Schizosaccharomyces pombe: one gene and its partners. The protein of the gene in region 1 purifies or fractionates together with the protein of each later gene. This does not show direct contact. Each region holds a gene or a part of one and is shown in the gene's direction. Other genes may lie near its edges. The genes, in order: cbs2, ppk9 and ade4.

What was found.
Region 2: the proteins of cbs2 (region 1) and ppk9 purify together in Schizosaccharomyces pombe (affinity purification with mass spectrometry, with the first as the bait; one study listed by BioGRID). This does not show direct contact.
Region 3: the proteins of cbs2 (region 1) and ade4 purify together in Schizosaccharomyces pombe (affinity purification with mass spectrometry, with the first as the bait; one study listed by BioGRID). This does not show direct contact.

What each region holds. Positions count from the first base shown.
Region 1 is NC_003424.3:3,805,378-3,811,218, reverse strand, and holds cbs2 (protein kinase activator), read left to right. Parts: upstream 1-2,516; 5' UTR 2,517-2,548; coding exon 2,549-2,584; intron 2,585-2,647; coding exon 2,648-2,771; exon of another isoform or gene 2,772-2,825; coding exon 2,826-3,184; intron 3,185-3,231; coding exon 3,232-3,388; intron 3,389-3,443; coding exon 3,444-3,772; 3' UTR 3,773-4,087; downstream 4,088-5,841. Other genes in the region: SPOM_SPAC1F12.04C (uncharacterized protein), read left to right, coding at 1-153; tma19 (translationally-controlled tumor protein), read left to right, coding at 1,185-1,691; phosphomannomutase Pmm1, read right to left, coding at 4,370-5,056, 5,289-5,375.
Region 2 is NC_003424.3:1,603,369-1,609,575, reverse strand, and holds ppk9 (serine/threonine protein kinase Ppk9), read left to right. Parts: upstream 1-2,426; 5' UTR 2,427-2,486; coding exon 2,487-2,601; intron 2,602-2,772; coding exon 2,773-4,256; 3' UTR 4,257-4,503; downstream 4,504-6,207. Other genes in the region: sterol transfer protein Osh3, read right to left, coding at 1-1,414; COPII-coated vesicle-associated protein Erv25, read right to left, coding at 4,718-5,046, 5,180-5,501.
Region 3 is NC_003424.3:5,362,676-5,369,380, reverse strand, and holds ade4 (amidophosphoribosyltransferase Ade4), read left to right. Parts: upstream 1-2,962; 5' UTR 2,963-3,041; intron 3,042-3,083; exon of another isoform or gene 3,084-3,158; intron 3,159-3,258; exon of another isoform or gene 3,259-3,416; 5' UTR 3,417-3,419; coding exon 3,420-5,021; 3' UTR 5,022-5,393; downstream 5,394-6,705. Other genes in the region: translation initiation factor eIF2B gamma subunit tif223, read right to left, coding at 95-466, 538-680, 722-1,163, 1,290-1,560, 1,685-1,833; protein Csi2, read left to right, coding at 5,668-6,705.

The sequences.
Region 1 (5,841 bases):
GCTTCAAACTTGGCTAGCCTTCCTTTGTGTATTCACTGGTCTGTAGAAAATGGAGCTGGTTTACACAAACACCAAATTGGAGTTCTTGGTCTTTTCAGCGCAATTGTACAAACTAGAAAACTAATCCTCTCTTTGCACAATAAAAGAGCTTAGTTACGAATGAGCTTTTTAAATTTAAATAGAAGTTACTTTTTTCATGTAATTCTATTCGTGCTCAACTATTTTTCGTTTTCTCGAATGTCTATGTGAGTAAAGTAGTAAACAAAAGTGGTAACAGTCGTCTTGGTTTTTTCAGCAAAAATCGAAATATGCCATTCTAAATGAAGGGACTGAATCGGTTTAAAGCTTGAAAGGTTTTAGAAATGAAGTCGATTTTAATCGTTAATCCATTCCATTAAAGCGTTTTAAATTTTGGGATATTGATCGAAAATTTAATCAACGGAAAACATTAAGTTACTCTTTGTTTGTCACCAAAATGTACCTTGTCATTTTTTTCTAATTGAACTGAATATCTTTATTAACGAGTGTTTTTAATGGCCCTGCAATTTCAAATTGAGGATGTACGATATCATACTTTTAAGTATATCATATATAAACGTTAAGGAATTATTATCAACTATAATGCACTACTTTTTTAGGTTTCTTCTGAAGCTCAGTACTGTTGAGAATGTTCTAATTACGACTCAAGAATTGACGGATAATAGCTCGAATAATAAATTTGAGGCGACATAAATGGTTACAAGTTGATTAAAGAACATAGAGATTAATACACATACTGTTAAATATGGTTCAATTGTTGAATTCATTTGGACTTTAATTCCAGCTTTAATCTTAATTTTACACGCATCATAATGGTTTCACTCAAAAAATCAGATTCAGTAATATAAAACAATTTACTACTGACTGAGTACAACGATATTTTCATCTAAAAAAAAATCTGAAAATATAAAGAATATTGTTATTTAAAAGAAAGGAGAACAGACTACGACAAATTGAAAAAAATGAAGGAATTGGTAAACAAAATGTATCTATCGAAAACAACGCTGTACTACGTAAAGTGAATACTGTTCGTAACCGCATTCCATACGGATGGCTAGAATCCAGTAACCCTGCCCTAAACTGTGACTGCTTTATCTCATTAAACCTGCGAGAAGTCAAATTATGAGCTACCATCTGCAATCACCATGTTGTTGTACAAGGACGTTATTTCTGGAGACGAACTCGTTTCTGACGCCTACGACTTGAAGGAGGTAGACGATATTGTCTACGAGGCTGATTGCCAAATGGTCACTGTCAAGCAAGGTGGTGATGTTGACATTGGTGCCAACCCTTCTGCCGAGGATGCTGAGGAGAATGCTGAAGAGGGTACTGAGACTGTAAACAATCTTGTTTACTCTTTCCGTTTAAGCCCTACTTCTTTTGACAAGAAGTCCTATATGTCTTACATCAAGGGTTACATGAAGGCTATCAAGGCTCGTCTTCAAGAAAGCAACCCCGAGCGTGTTCCTGTTTTCGAGAAGAATGCCATTGGATTCGTCAAGAAGATTTTGGCTAACTTCAAGGACTACGACTTTTACATTGGTGAGAGCATGGATCCCGACGCAATGGTTGTCTTAATGAACTACCGTGAGGATGGTATTACTCCCTACATGATCTTCTTCAAGGACGGTCTTGTTTCTGAGAAGTTCTAAATGCAAATTTGGGTTCTTATAAGGGAGTTTCTAACTGGGAACATGATATCATGTCTAAATTTTATAGTTTTGTGAATTAGTTTTCACAAAATTTCATTAGGATTAGAACAGGGGTTTTTGTTCTGATAATAATTAATTATGCTAGCTTATAATCATGTTCAAATTGAAATTAGTGTTTTTTTATCGATTTTGTATTTGGTTGAATGGAAGATTGAGGTATCGATGTTTTAAAACGTGTGTGCTAAAATTCATGAATCTATTTATATATTAACAGGCCGAAATAATTTAGTAAGTAAGGATATGGTTTGAAATTTGGTATTTTACCATTAATTTAGTGTATTTTTTTGCTTTTTATCGAAGTTGATAATTCAAGTCCTTTACGAGGAATAGCCAAACTTTTGTTATGGCGACACTAGACGACCCGGTAGCCATTGAAACTTTGTTACAGTCGAAACTATAGTTTACTGTTAGTACTAAAGATTTGGGAAATTTTTGCTCGACGATGTTATTTTTGTAGCGGACGACTATTGGATTAAATTTATGCTTAATTGTTAAGCCTTTTAATCAATCTTATCATTGAGTTAATAGACTAGTTGCATTTAATTTTGTCAATGTATATTGTTACGTTTAAATAGTAAACTATATAAGCAGTTTAAATCAACGAGTTTAGCTACAATATTCCCCTAAGTGAAATATATCATTTAAAAGCACTAACAAATACGCATAATTTAGGCATTGTACTATTTGCAACTAATTACTTAACACCTCGATTTGTTGCCCTTGTGCGGGTTACCATTCCCCTCGCTCATTTATCTAGTCTCTTTTACCAACCACACCATATATCCTTTGACGAGGTCATGACAGACGTTCAAGAGACCCAAAAAGGAGCACTCGTAAGTGATATGGAATAGATTTTTTATTAAATAGAAATAATTATTAATCTATGTGATGTACAGAAAGAAATTCAAGCATTTATACGCTCGCGTACAAGTTACGATGTTTTGCCTACGTCCTTCCGTTTAATCGTGTTCGATGTTACGCTTTTTGTAAAAACATCACTTTCTCTTCTTACATTAAACAGTACGAAAGATTTTTCATTACAGATGTGAAATCAACTTATTAATCACGTCTTAGATATCGTCAGTGCTCCTTTATGGGACAGTGAAGCGAATAAGTTTGCGGGCCTTTTAACGATGGCGGATTTCGTCAATGTTATTAAGTATTATTACCAAAGCTCTTCATTTCCCGAGGCTATAGCTGAGATTGACAAATTTCGATTGTTGGGACTTCGTGAAGTGGAAAGAAAGATTGGCGCCATTCCTCCGGAAACTATATATGTTCATCCAATGCATAGTCTTATGGATGCTTGCTTAGCCATGTCAAAGAGCCGTGCTAGAAGAATTCCTTTAATTGACGTAGATGGCGAGACAGGCAGCGAAATGATTGTATCTGTTTTGACACAATATCGAATTTTGAAATTTATCTCCATGAATGTTCGTAAATCGTGTTATGTTTTTATATTTACTAATTTCAAATTTAGTGCAAAGAAACCGCAATGCTACGGGTACCATTAAACCAAATGACAATTGGGACATGGTCAAATTTAGCTACCGCGTCTATGGAAACGAAAGTCTATGATGTTATTAAAATGCTTGCCGAAAAGAATATATCTGCCGTCCCAATCGTTAATTCTGAAGGTTTGTGAGATGTTTTGAATTTTTTCTGTGAATAATTTATATATTAACTGAGCAGGTACCCTGCTAAATGTCTATGAATCGGTGGATGTAATGCATCTTATACAAGATGGTGATTATAGTAATTTAGACTTGAGCGTAGGCGAGGCTTTATTGAAAAGACCAGCTAACTTTGATGGCGTCCACACTTGTCGAGCTACTGATCGTTTGGATGGTATTTTTGATGCTATTAAGCATTCCAGGGTTCATCGTCTTTTCGTGGTTGATGAAAACTTGAAGCTCGAAGGTATTTTATCTTTGGCTGATATTTTAAATTACATAATATACGATAAAACGACTACGCCCGGCGTTCCCGAACAAACTGATAATTTTGAATCTGCCGTATAATTTGATTCTCGTGCGCTTCAGCCTGAATGCATTCATAATCTGTTGAAAACATTGCCAAGTCTCATGATATTTGAAGTTAAACCGTTGAGTTGTTTCTTTTTTTTTGCATGGCAGCTCGAGGTGGTATCTAATTCAGTGTACTCGAATGAGGCTTCTTTTATTTCAAAAAGTATTAATTCGGTTATTACAACTTCTGTCTATATAATATGATGTGACTTGTACCATTATGCTAATGCCTATCTAATTAAATAACTAACACATGCCTTTCATTAGCTACTAAGTTCGCATTTTTCTAGGAATGCATCAATTAACCGATCGTAAGTGTAATTTTCTTGTAAATATTCTTTCATATATGCATATTGTTCAGGTATGAGTATTAAAAGCTGCGTTGGCAGTAGATTACAATAATTTAATGTTCTTCGCATTCCATGCTACCAATAATTATGGAAGATGTACGAGTTAAATGACAGATCAATTGTGTGCAAGAAACTTCACACTCGCCGAGCATATGAAGTAGTTATTTACAACTAAGAAAGCTAACCTTTTCCGTAATGATAAGAGAGGGACGCATATCTAATCAACACACTACAAACTCATCTATATGTTAAAAATTTTCTTGAGTTCAGCAATGGTATCGTCAGGATTAGTAACAGAATGTCCGATAGTACGAGGGTCGACAAAAATTTCATAATCATTGCCGCCTTTGTATGTCTTGTCTCCAAAAAAGTGAATTGTATCAAATCCCTCTTTCTCTACGTGTTGCAAGCAATATGTCTTATCCCAACCAGCAGGGAACACATCAAAAGAGATTTGACCTCCAATGGAAAATGTCAATCCATAATCCTTGAATTTTTCGCGAAGAACATCGACCATGGTAGCGCGAATTTTACGACCCTTATCAAAACGTTCAAATTCATTGCGTTCCTCAGTATTGGCATTGCGTCCTACAGGAGATATGTTGATCATACCGTTGCGGAATTCAATGAAAGTACCACGCTTCACGGGAATATCCAGATCAGCAATGTAATGTAAGCAGAAATTAACCAGTTTTTGGTATTTTTCTTCTCCCAACCAGGCGATGAATGACTGACTAGCTAATTGCTGTCCATAACGATAAGCAGTTAATCCGTTTTCAGCAAACGCATAATCAAAAGAATCAATTACGTTTTCACCGTTGACACTCAGTTGCTCTTGTTGCTTGCTCAAATCACTACCGCCTACGAAGCCGATAGCGACAACCTTGCGAAGATTTTGCAAAGTTTCGAGCATTTCAGGGGAGACACTCTTTAAAATGTTAGTCTTGTTATTACAAAATGGAAAGAGAAATAAACTAGGTCATAGAGCATGAATAGCTTGCTCCCGAAATATTTTGGATAATTAAAACTTCCTTTCAAGCCATCTCTGATTAAATAATGGTGATGACCATAGAGAATGTGATTGGAAAATAGGAAATTTGATACAAGCCGGCTATTCAGATTGAATCCAAGAAAGCTCGACTGCAATAATCTAAACTTACCAAACGTGCAGGAGTGAGCGTTCCATCAACGTCAAATAAAACTAGGGTCTTAGGAAATTTACGCTCTTCAATAGGGATAACTGCCATTTTGAGAATTTGGTCGAAGGTAAGTGCAACTGGTAGTGGTATGGTGGTAACGCGTCGATGAAGCCCCCTCGATCAAGGTAAACAATAAGCCCCCTTCTACCTTCAAAGCATTAGACACTCTTACAACAAAATTTTATAGCAAAAACATTCATAGGAAGGTATATTATATTAGCTCTACAATATCATAAATGTTGATTTCAGGTACCCTTGTGTCGTAGGAATTTGAATTAATCAATCGGGATTTTACATAGAAAGTCGTATTCGCACAGAAAAATATTTCAAAAAATGTGTTTTTGAAGATATTTTTATCAAAACTTCATTTTTTTCTATTTCGTGTAGCGCGTAACGTATAATGAAAATAGACGCGTGTGAACCCGCGGTGTTTAAAAAAAGTATTTTTATAAGATGGATGAAAATGGTATGAAATCAATATTTTGTTTTAAACTTTTAAACATTGAAACGGCAT
Region 2 (6,207 bases), 2.2 Mb from region 1:
ACTCATCTACTGTTGAGGCGAGAGAAGTTGCATTCAACTGTTCATGTGGAGCTGAAGAGTTGGATGATGTATCGGAAATAGAAGAAGTGTCAGAATCACGATCTGCATCAAGGGAAGTGCTATTAGAAGAAGTTTTCATTATTGGAATATCGGAATCAGAGATGTCCTCCACCTTTTCATTATGAGCAACACTTGATTTAGTAGCATCAGCTGCGTGAGCACCCGACTCAGAATAGTGATTCAATTGAGAAGTTGTGCTTTCATAATCTTCAGCGTCGTACCAATGTTGCTCAAAATTGGAATCCATAGACATGCGTGACGAAGGAGAAGATTGCGCCGTACGTTCTTTAGTATATTCATGGTGTTGAATAAAGCATTCCAGTTCATGCAACAAAGACCCGAGTTGACGAGTAACCTTGCGTAAAGTAACCGCAGCTTGCGCGTTTTCAGCAGCAGTAATTTCCACTGAAGTACGGGTTTCCTTGTTTTCTTTGGCATCACCGGGAAGTTGTATACGGATCTCAGGGACAGAAAAATTATGACTTGAAGCCGATTTGATACGACTGGTGCGATACAATTGAGCAATATCCAGGCATTCACGTAGTCTTGAGTAAATAGAGACTAACTGATTGGATGACGATTCTTGTGTCCTTTCGTCTACTACGAGCTTTGAAGAAGTTTGACTATTTTTCGCCTTTTCCAAAGCATTGCACCAACGTAGCCAATCTTGGTGAGTATGTGCTCGTAGGTTCCACAGTTCTACGCCTGAATCAACGTTGATCTCATGCGTCTCTGCAGCAACGCTAATCACAGCAATGCTCAAGGGAATTTTACCGCGCATTACCGAAGAATTTTCGTTAGCATAGTATGAGATCGTGCCTTCCACCATGTTGAGAGTGAAGTAACGTCGAGCATAGCCTTGGCCCTTCTTTCGGCGCTTTTTAAGCAAGGTTCCAGAAATAATTTGTTTAGGAGAGCCATGGACTGATGCATTTGGTATTCTCGGACCGTTGTATGGTTGCGCGGTCAAGAGGAAGGTCACAGTTTTTGGTTTTGTTTTCGAAAAAGTGTTATCAAACACGAAGGCATAAAGTCCTCCATTCTCAATGTAGACAGAGCCCTCACTAGGCTTTTCCGACATACATCGCTCTCCTTGATAAAATAATTCTAACCCAGCAGCACTCAACTTCTTGATACCAGCTTCGTGAGTGTGTTGACGCTTTGTATGCAGGATGGAACGATCGGTGTTTTTGTTGGATCCATCTAGCAAGCTAGATGTGTCATTCTTTTTATGATATATATCAAACTTTATGCTTTTCCGTTTCACATGCAGTTGCCAACTCAGTAAGGAATTCGATTCCACCGTGAGCCATTGTATCAACAGACTCTTACTTCGTATCTCCACAGTTTCCATGTTGACTCATGGACTTCTACTGTGATAATTGCAAAACTTAGAAAGCCTATTTTTTTCAATTGATGACTGGAGAGGAATAAAATAATTGCCTAAACGTATGTGGTAAGAGATGGATTTTCGGTTTCGGGATTTTCGGGCGAATGACTCCAAGGTATTTTACCGATGCGGAACGTTCGGTTTTTTGGCGGCCACCTAATGTAATGTATACTTAAGTAGTAAACAAAGGGCTGGTAGCGGCAATAGGTATGCCAGTATGTAAACGGATACAAAGAAAATTTTGCACTTATCACTTTCCGTAGTGTGTACTTGGGATGCCTCGATCGGGCTATTTCAGATATGGCAAAATATACTTTACATTAAAAAATAGCTATACAAAAACATTCGCACGGTCTGTAATATGCGGTTTTATGTTTGTCTACTAGCATTGATGGCATCGTGCGAAATAATGCGGGTTTTTGGGATTAAACCGAAAATCAAATGTTTTCTGTAGTCAAAAAATCTAGCTGTTGTAATTTTTTATTTAATTGTCTTTGAGTATTTCTATTACTGCTTTTACTAATTTTATCATTATCACGGCTGTATTGTTGTAGCTTATTGTGCAAAAAATTTTGGCTAGAAGTTGGGACGGATCTAATGATGGAAGAGGGTAAATAGAGAGTTCCCATGTACTCATAAACTTTGAAAATTGGCATAATTTCCCATAACACAATACCAGCTCGATTTTCCATTTCATAACACAAAATTTACATACCTATGCATCTGATAACCCATAGACCGCGTACCTTAATTAAATAAAGTGCAGATTGGTTGCTCGTATCGAACGCTAGCGTTGTCTGCAATGTCGCCGTGGAGATGTTTACCAAAAGATAGCACGTTACGCCATATAATCTTATTACAAGGTTGCTTTGAATCACACTACTTTGCCTCGTGCACCTTTTTTATCGCTAACAAATTAGCATCAGATGCGCGGATCATGTTTAAGTCGGACGGTATGCAGCAACATGCACATGCTAACCACCTATATACACGAATAACGAATTTCATCCTATAAAGTCAGCTGGCTCGACTTGCTATGCAAACCCCTTCTTCTGCATCGGCAGAGTCTGAAAAGGATTCAGGAAACACCTATGTTGGGCCTTGGCTTTTGGGAAGGACTTTGGGACAAGGAAACTTGGCCAAAGTGAAATGTAAGTACATGAGGTGAAATTTAGTTGACTTTGTCTTGTAGGGGCTTGTTAATAAGATAGAGTAGACTACTTATAGACAGTAGAGATAGACTACTTAGGTGTCATGGTTATCTTGCGCATCGATCGTCTTTGATTTTGTTTTTGGCAATTGTACGATGGCTAACAGTGTAGTGGGCAAGCATTTTCAAACAAATGAAAAGGTCGCATTGAAAATGGTTTACAATGATGAATTGGAAGATAAAGATACGTGGAAGCGTTTACAAAGAGAAGTGACAATCTTAAGGCAATTGCACCATCCAAACATTATCACCCTATACCAGGTGTTTCGGGTTCCCAAGTACACAGTGCTCGCACTAGAGTATATGGATACTGATTTGCACAGTATGGTGGTTAAGCATAATCGACTGGATGAATGTACCACTCGCAAGATTTTTCGACAAATTGTCCATGCCATCGATTATTGTCATCTTCATCGTGTTGCTCACCGAGATTTGAAGTTGGAAAACATTTTACTTAATAAAGATCTGGTTGTCAAGCTCACGGATTTTGGCCTTTCCAATTTTATGCTTGATGGTTCCTTTCTGAGTACCTCTTGCGGTACTCCCCATTATGCTGCTCCTGAGGTTATTCAAGGCCGTTATTATGATGGTTGTGATGTAGATGTATGGGGTTGCGGAATCTTATTGTATTTGATGCTCGTCGGCGAGTTTCCCTTTGAGGATGTAACCATCTCCAATGTATTAAGTCGCGTTTGTAAAGGAATCTACACCATTCCTAGTTTTGTATCTTCTTCAGCCTCAGATCTCATTCGTCAAATGTTAATGGTGCTTCCTACTTCACGAATCAAAGTTGCAGAAATAATGCAACATCCTTGGTTTATCGCTGATCTTCCCACGCATTCCCGTTTACCTTCCCGTACTTCATCCTTTTCTTCCAAGCATCGATCTGTCACCTTTTCTCCTCCAGATCTTGCTATTCTTTTCGACCCTTCCATAACTTCGCCTTCCAGTAGTGTAGGTCAAATTCCTCAGCCCACAGATCACTCAGCCCTATCCCCGTCAAAACCAATGTCCATTTCAGGTACTGAATCTCCTAATCCAGATCCCGCATCTTTATGTTATTCGTCGTATGAGGACTTGTATTCGGCTACTTCGTGGCATTCTGACATGGCAGAATCATCCGGATTTTTAGATCCTACTGATATTCCACCAATTCCTTCTAACGTTGAAACTTTACGCTCTTCTCTTCCACAGAGACATGCTTCATTCATGAATAAGGTCTACAACCATCCATTATCCCGACCTCCCGCCCCCAACCGACTTCGTTCTTTACGCTGGCATTATGGGATTCAAACTGCCAAAAATCCAATTGAAGTATTGAGAAAGCTATGTGAGGCTTTACTTGAGTTAGGAGCTCGGTTTCGGCCCTGTGATGAGGAATCTTTTCTAAAGGAAAATAAGTATAAAGTGTTTTCATGCATTACATGTCATAATTCTCCTGTTTATCTGGTTATTGAATTATTCTCTATTGGACCATCTGCTAGCGTGATTGATATCCGCTTTTCTAGTAGTGATGATTCTATAAAGTACACTTCATCTTACAGTCCAATGCCATTTTTAGAAGTTGTCAAACAATTGATCCTTAAAATTGCATAAGGTCAGTCGCGTAACTCAACCTAATTCCCTTTTTTATCCTTTTTTTTTCTTTTACGATTTTTTTTGTTGTAAAGCTTTTGTTTTCAATATTGTTTGCATTTACTAATATTGTGAAACTAAGTTGAATTTTGATATTTTTGTTACGACTTTCTCATTTAGTTTCAATTAGAATTCACAGTTGTTACATTTCCCTTTTGTTTTTTGAATTTGTTAGTTATTTCACAAACAATGAAGATAAACAGTTGTAATATTACAACAGAATTATGCTAATGTAATTTACTACAATCTTTTATTTTTATTCATGAAGTTAAAGAGTGAAGTAGTGTATATGCATTAAATGTGAATGTTTGTCCATACTCACAGTAATTCCTAGTACGGAATATAAAAGCAACCAATTAATTTTTGGAAATTGTGGAAGTGCCAAGTATGCCGTATACGTATATTTATTGTTCATGTGAAATTTAAGGGATAAGATGCTTCCTTTGGAAAAATGAACGTAAATAGAGGATTTGCCATATAACAAGAACAAATAATGAGATAAAAGTAAGATATGCAAAATTCTTGACACGCTCATTAGTACTTTCATTAGTGTTTCTGAATCTAGCTTCGCGAGCTTGCAAATAGTAAATTTTTCCTTTGATTTCTTCAATGAAGTCTCTTGCACGACGGATATCAGCTTCTACAGGTTCCAAGTTGTTTGCTTTTTGCAATGAAGAATAATCATCGGCGTCAGCGCCTACAGTAAACTCAAGTTTGACGGATCGCTTTTTATGTTCAGACTCTATAGCACCTACATTTAAATGTCAGTCAGAAAGCTAAACTCATAAAGGATTTCTTTTTCAAAGAAAGAAAGGGATCTAAACAACGTAAACAAATCAAAATAGCCGTTGAAGTAAATACGACTTTTAGATATAGTACCATACCTGGTGTCAAAGTATTTAGGAAGCAAATATCGAGCATAGCAGAAGCATCAACGTCAAAGGCAACACTCTTCTCGCCTAAGACATTTTGAATACTGCTATGAGTGTTGCCAGATGAATCAGTTATCATCATACTCAAGGTTTGTCCATCTCCCATATTACCAGTAGTTTTCAGATTAACAATTACAAGGTTCTTTTCTCCTACGTATTCACGAAGACAGAAAGGCTCTGGATTGGTTTTGGCAGGAATATCAAAGTTTAAAGCATGGACAACAGTCAATAATGCTAGCATAAAGAACAACGAAGATTTCAAAGAAACCATCATTTTGAAATAACTCCAAATGTTTGGGATACGATATGAACGACGTAATAACCACCACTGCTGTATACAGGTTGGCAAAAGAAAGAAATCTTGCCTGTTCTAGTTAAATGATGGTAAACCGAATGCCAAGGGGGAGTGTGCGCTGCGTCTCATTAACTTTCCTTACAGCTACAATGCAACAAAAAATACAAAAATAAGAATTCTGAGATACTTCCTTACGAATCAACTTTTATTAGTGTAAGAAATAACTCAATTTTTTTTTGCGGATCTCTTATAGCCTTAAAAAATGAGTAAGGGGCGTTGAAGGGTTTCATTTAGCAATGTAAACATAAGATAGCCATCGATATCACTAGCAAAAAGTGATAGGTTATAAAGCAAGAAAATGAATAAAAGAATGGATTTAGTTAATTTCTATACTAGTATTATGAGAAAATTAGCTTTTTCATTTTCTAATGATTATTTAATGAAAAAAAACTTACTAAAGTGATGCAAAAAATTATGTTTTGAATGCGGATAATCAACTTGAACCAAATCTTGAAAAACCATCAATTTTAAATTCAATAGCTAACGGAGTTAATTAATCATATAACTTTCAAATTTCTTTAGTAACTTTTAACTGATACGTATTCATTTACTAATAAATTTAAAATAAATTCTCAATTGTTCAGTTATATATTACAAAGACAAACGGACAACCACAAGCTCTTGT
Region 3 (6,705 bases), 1.6 Mb from region 1:
TTAGTTTAGACACACTTTGTAGAGTAAGTGCACGAAATTTTTATTATATCTATTTCAAAAAAAAGGTTGGCTGACAACGGTTTGATACACAGTATTAGTCCATGTCCGTCTCAATTTTTTCCATATCAACCAGCCGCTCACCCCGAGCGATACGGCCAGCTTCAACGCGATGATCAACGCCAATTTCGCATTCACGAAGTTTTGACTTAGCGCCTATTTGAGCACCTGAGGCGACTATGCAAGATTCTAAACGTACTCCGTCTTCAACAACAATGTTGTCCATCAAAATAGAGTTGCTGACCACTACCCCTTTTCCAATTACACAATTTTTACCGATAATGCTCTTTTTAATGTTGCTGTTATCCTTAATGGTGGTACCTTCATTCACCATACAATCGGCACCGACCAGTGCTCTTTCGGACACGGTGACATCTACAAGGCGTTGTTCTGGAGTAAGTTTGGCGATCTAGTTTGCTGTTAGAGATATTGGATGAAACTGCTAAAAAGCGAGATGAAGCTCAGCTTTCGAAAACATACGCATTTATTAAGTTCGAAATAGTTAGGTAAATTATTAGCCCTAGAACAAATAATCCCATCTTTGGCAATTAAAGCATTAATTTTAATTTCCTGTGAGGATAATCCCCCATCATAATTATCAATATTGTTAGGAGATGACAAAACTTTAATTGTTAGAAAATAGTTAATTAAAAAAAGCACTTACATCTTTGAATGTTCTCTCGTACAGTAAAGGATTTCTGATATTGACATTTAACAAGATACGGGATGAGATCTCCACGAATGCTAGAAATAGATTCTTTCTCCCGGATCAAATCAATAACCCAGTGTTTAAATACAAATATATGGGCATCCGAAAGGTTTGTATTTAACGTAACCCTTGGGTGTTTCCACAACAAAGACATTCTAAATGTAAAATCACTGCCCACGTCTGCGGAACTTTTGGCATACAATAGTCTGCTCGTCTTCTCTTCAATTCCAATCAGTTGTTTTGCATCAATCTCTTTAGATTGACTTGTAATATGCTCATATTTTAACACTGGACTATATACAGCCAGTGCTGAAGGGTTATCAAGGCGAAACTTATCCAAACCGTATATGGGAGGGAGACCAACTATACTATCACAACTGAGACACACAAAGTCATTCTGGTGGGTATCGGTTAGCATTTTTTGTGACTTTAAGACGAGTAATTAAATTGCAGAATGAGAGAGAAAAGATCAAAAAGTCTAAGAACACATGCATATCTACTTATACATAAAAATAAATCATACCTTTATAAGATGGGATACAGCACGAAGAGCATCGGCAGAGCTTTTAGAATCATCTAAAATAGTCGGTGCTTCCACGTGAATACGCATATGTCCCTCGTAGCCAGATCGTAACCAAGCATTGATATGGGCTTCCGCTTCTTCCATGCAAATAAGAATAGCAGAAGTAAATCCAGCAGCTTCAAGCCAATATAATGGGTAGTGAAGCATCGGTTTATTGCCGATAGGTAATAAAGCCTTGGGAAGTGCATCGCTTCCAGTCAAAGGATATAAACTAAAACATGGTTAGTATTTTCTTATTGTTATTTTATCTTTTTTAAGTGTTGATGAAGATAATATGTGCGAAGTCATCATTATCCAAATCGTTAAGTAGTCAGTACTACACTTGTTTGTTTTACCTATTGCCAAATCCTGCAAAAACAACAGCTTGAAATTCAATCGGAATAGACTGTAATTGAATATTCCCCCGATTTCGTCCACCAGAAATAGGTCCAAGGATTGAAGGGCTACTGGCTAAAGGAAGTGCAGCATGCTCATACAACGACATTGTGAGATGTTGTTCTTCAAGGCGTTGGATGCTTTTACAAAAGGTTTTTACCTAAAAGGATGCTTTGAAGCCAAAATCTTTTATAACCTGATAGAAGACGAATTATTGGGTTTTTTTGCAGTACGCCAATATTTGATGAAGATGGAAAACCTTACTTTCCTAGATCCCTACTAACGAGCCAAAAGTTTACACGTTACACATCACTATCTGAAATAAAAATGTGCTGAATTTATATTTGTGTTTAGAAAAATGTATTCATGAAATATGAACTATTGATGATTTTTTTTTAAAATGATTTACCAACTCAAAATGTGGAGCTGCTTGAAAACTAATTATTGCTTTGCACTTGTAATTTTGTTTAATGTGCAATATTAAAAAAGATGTTTTAATAATCAACGATTTATAAATCGGTACGTTTTCGCGATCCTGGTTTATAATCAATCCGATAGTAAAAAATATCAATCAAGCGCTCAGAAAATGATCCTCTGTACACCAATTAAGGAACAAATATTTGAAGCCGGTTAGTAAACTATTATTTTGAGGAATCAGAAGATTAGAGATACAGTACATTGTGTATTGTTTTCATTAGTTTTTTAAGTTTAAAAACCATTGGACTACTGCAATCGTAACAAGTTGAACTAAAAGTTTTGGATTAGATTACCCATAGCTCTCATCTCGGTGATTAATGTATTGTTGTTAACTACCGAGTAAAGAAGGAAGAAAAACCAGAACATTGAAAGATTTTATAACAAATAAATAGTAATGGGATACCTCCGGTAAAGCTCAATAATAAGTTGATGTGTATGCGGCATTACTGTAACACTGCACCACTCTTAACTTCATCGAATTTTTTTTGATATAAGAAGGTTTTATTTAAAGATATATTTTTAAGCTTAAAAAATTTTTTTTGGCAACAAAAATAGCAAACAATTTAATATCATCTACCCTGTCAGCTAAGTAGCAAGCTATACCTGTTACCTATATTAACGTGCGCATATCCCACCTCTCTTTAAGCTTCTATTTAGCGAATCGTTCATCACAATCTTGAGCAGTCATAGTTTCGACTCATACTTCACTATCATTTAAGGCGGACAATAAATTAATTTATACGGCAGCAAAATTTTGCCTTAACAATATACCCAACTACGGTGTTTGTTCAGCGCGTACCTGAAAATCTTTTTTTTTTTGTTTCGTACGCGTTTTAAAAAGTAAGTTAATATAGATATTGATTTTCCAACGCCGCAGTACTTGCCTATGATGATTACCGTTTATTTAGATGCTAGACTTCTGAATTTCATCTTATGTAGCTACAAGGTTTTCTGAGGTCTGCTTAATTGATTAAAATTTTTTATTTTCTGTGATGGTAACATACAACTCATTTTACGGTCGGTACAAAAAAATTGAAATTATATTCCAAGTATTCTCAAACTTTGATTGCTGTCCGAATAGAACAGTCCGACTCATATTATTTTAATCAAGTTATAGCAATTTGACTGGGTGCTGTTTTTTCTTTTGTACATTTAAACCTATCATTTTATTATCTTTTGTATTCAATTCACAACCGAAGCTCTAACAAGTTTTAGAAAATGTGCGGAATTTTGGCGTTAATGCTTGCTGACCCTCATCAACAGGCATGTCCTGAAATTTATGAGGGTCTTTACAGTTTGCAGCATCGGGGTCAAGATGCCGCCGGTATTGTAACCGCTGGAAACAAAGGTCGTCTTTACCAATGCAAGGGATCCGGCATGGTTGCCGATGTTTTTAGTCAGCATCAACTTCGCCAACTCGTAGGTAGTATGGGTATTGGTCATTTGCGCTATCCTACTGCTGGAAGTTGTGCTCACTCTGAAGCACAACCCTTTTATGTTAACTCTCCTTATGGTCTTGTGTTGGGCCATAATGGTAATTTAATTAATGGACCCGAATTACGACGCTTTTTGGACACTGAGGCCCATCGTCATGTAAACACTGGATCTGATTCTGAGCTTTTGCTTAACATCTTTGCTTACGAGCTTCAACGGTTGGATAAATTTCGTATAAACGAAAATGATATTTTCGAAGCTTTGCGTAATGTATACGATCGCGTTAATGGTGGTTATGCATGTGTTGCTATGATCGCAGGCTTGGGTGTTTTGGGATTCCGTGATCCCAATGGCATTCGTCCTTTAGTGATCGGTGAACGTGATACCCCCGAAGGAAAGGATTACATGCTTGCTAGTGAGAGTGTTGTATTGACTCAATTTGGATACCGTACATTCAGAGATATTCGCCCCGGTGAGTGTGTCTTTATTCGTCGTTCCAATAGGGAAGATATACTTGCAGGGTTTAGAGGCCCTCGCTTGTTTTCTCGTCAAATCCTTCCCTGCCTAAGATTTACTCCCGATATATTTGAGTATGTCTATTTCGCTCGTCCCGACTCTGTTATTGACGGATTGTCCGTATACCAATCCCGTTTAAATATGGGTGAAAAGTTAGCGCATACTATAATGAAACGGTTTGGTCCCGATTACATGGAAAAAATTGATGCTGTCATTCCTGTTCCAGATTCTGCTCGAACCAGTGCCCTTGCACTTGCACAGACAGCTCAACTGCCATACGTCGAAGCTTTTATTAAAAACCGATATATTGGTCGTACCTTCATTATGCCAGGTCAACAGATTCGTCGTAAATCGGTTCGTCGTAAATTAAATGTTCAACCTCAAGAGTTTTTTGATAAGAATGTTTTAATTGTGGATGACAGTATTGTTCGTGGTACCACCTCTCGTGAGATCGTTCAAATGGCTAGGGAGTCGGGTGCAAAGAATGTCTATTTGGCTAGTTGCGCTCCTATGATCACTCATCCTCATGTCTACGGTATTGATCTCGCTGATTGTAAGGATCTCATTGCTTATGGAAAAACTGAGGATGAGGTTGCTGAAGCAATTAGTGCCGATGGTGTCATTTATCAAACATTAGAAGATTTATTAGATTCTTGTCGTACGGCTGAGCTGACCGAATTTGAAGTTGGTCTCTTTACTGGCGAATACACTACTGGCGCTAGTAAAGAATATTTAGTCCATCTTGAGCAAATGCGTATTGCTAACAATCGTGCTCGTAAGCATAGCTTTGCAGAAGATGAGGAACGTGAAGCTCCCGAAGACATTTCTCTCCATAACACACATTCAGATGTTACTTTTGATTTTGTTTAATTCCCCAATTTATTCAATGCTTAGTGCTTTATTATAATAACCAATCCTCCATTTACTTTGTCTAGATTGATGCTCTAATCCATTGTTGAATACTAATAGAATGTACAATCGCCCCATCAATGGTTTTTTGGTTGATTTTAATTTCTGAATTTTTGTCCTCTTGAAACTTTTCTTGAAATTAAAGATAATTTCATCAGCTCCTTGTTGTTAATTTTACTTTTTGTTACCAATTAATATATATTGTTTCAATATATAAGTTTACCCATACTCTTTAAGACTATTAGATTATAAGTAGTGTCTGAAAAAAATTTTCTACACACTTTTATAAACATGCAATAATATACAATATTGGTTTTTTTTTTTTGGTCTCTTAACCTTTTCATAAAATGAAACATAATTCAAAGTCTGTTTGTACTATTTGCATAATTATGTTACAAACTCTTTCGACGTTTTTACTTGTATAGTCCACCAACTTCTTCATTTCTTTATATAAATGCGTATAACGGTAAAAGCATTCTTTCGTTTAATCAATAACTAAAAACCTATTAATTTAAGTCTATGTTTCAATACAACTCACTGTTTTGGCGAAACTCGTGTTGAATGATTCCGAAGAGAGGGGATTTCGATATCATCAGTGCCTTTTGTGATGATGTCTAGAAAGCGACAGGCATCCTCTAATGATTTTTTTGACATGGAACAGCTTTTGATAGCGAATGATGCATTAGTGCATCAGAATCACTCTACTCCCAATCATGCAAGCGACGAATTGTCTGTGAACGACCCTTCGCCTTTGAGCCGTGGCCTGCAGTCAGATGTCAACTCAAACATATCTAGAAATATCTCTAACACATTCTTTAAAAAGTCGATCTTTTTCTTCGTTTACTATTGTAAGCAAGCTTTAGAATTTATCAGCACTGTATTTTCCATCATAAAGTTTCTTTTGAACCGTCGAAAAGTTAGCTTTTTACTCTCATTTCTTTTGCTTTTCTCGTTGTTTTTACTAATACCTAATGATGGACGAGTAAATATTAAGTTTTTTTATAAGGATTTCGTAGACAGAATTCCTTTTCGGTTCATTCCTTCAAATTTTAATATAAGTTTTGGCAAACACTTGGAACAAGCGAAATCTCTGTTTAAATCCAAATTTGGTAATTCCTCTTCAACATATAATGAACGTGATTCTATAATGCCATTGCTAAAGCTACAGTCAAACCTTACAGAGGCAAAGACACTTCTTTATCAAAATCCAATTAGCCCTGAAGATGTTTTATTACATTTTTGGGATAGAAATTTAATGAGTACTTATGATCTTAAAATACAGGATATAAATGATTCTGTTAACCCTCTACTGAACACTTACCTAGATTTTATTGAAAAAGACATATACCTAGTGTCGCATCTGCCTGTTTCCGAAAAACACCCTGGGAACATCCCGATTTCATTAGTCAATAAGAGTGTTCAAGCCATTTGTTCTTTTGCCGAACATTACAATTTATTGCGAAATCCTTCGTATCGGGGCTTTCTGAGAATTAACAATGGAGAGTCTATTTTTAATTTACTTTGCATTGAAGATTTACACGAAAGTGTCAATCTTGATATTCTTTGTTTGAAAGATATATTACGGAACATTGCTCAAAGCTCTAAAGAAGCTATGTATATTGTAAAGCGACACAACTCATCACAG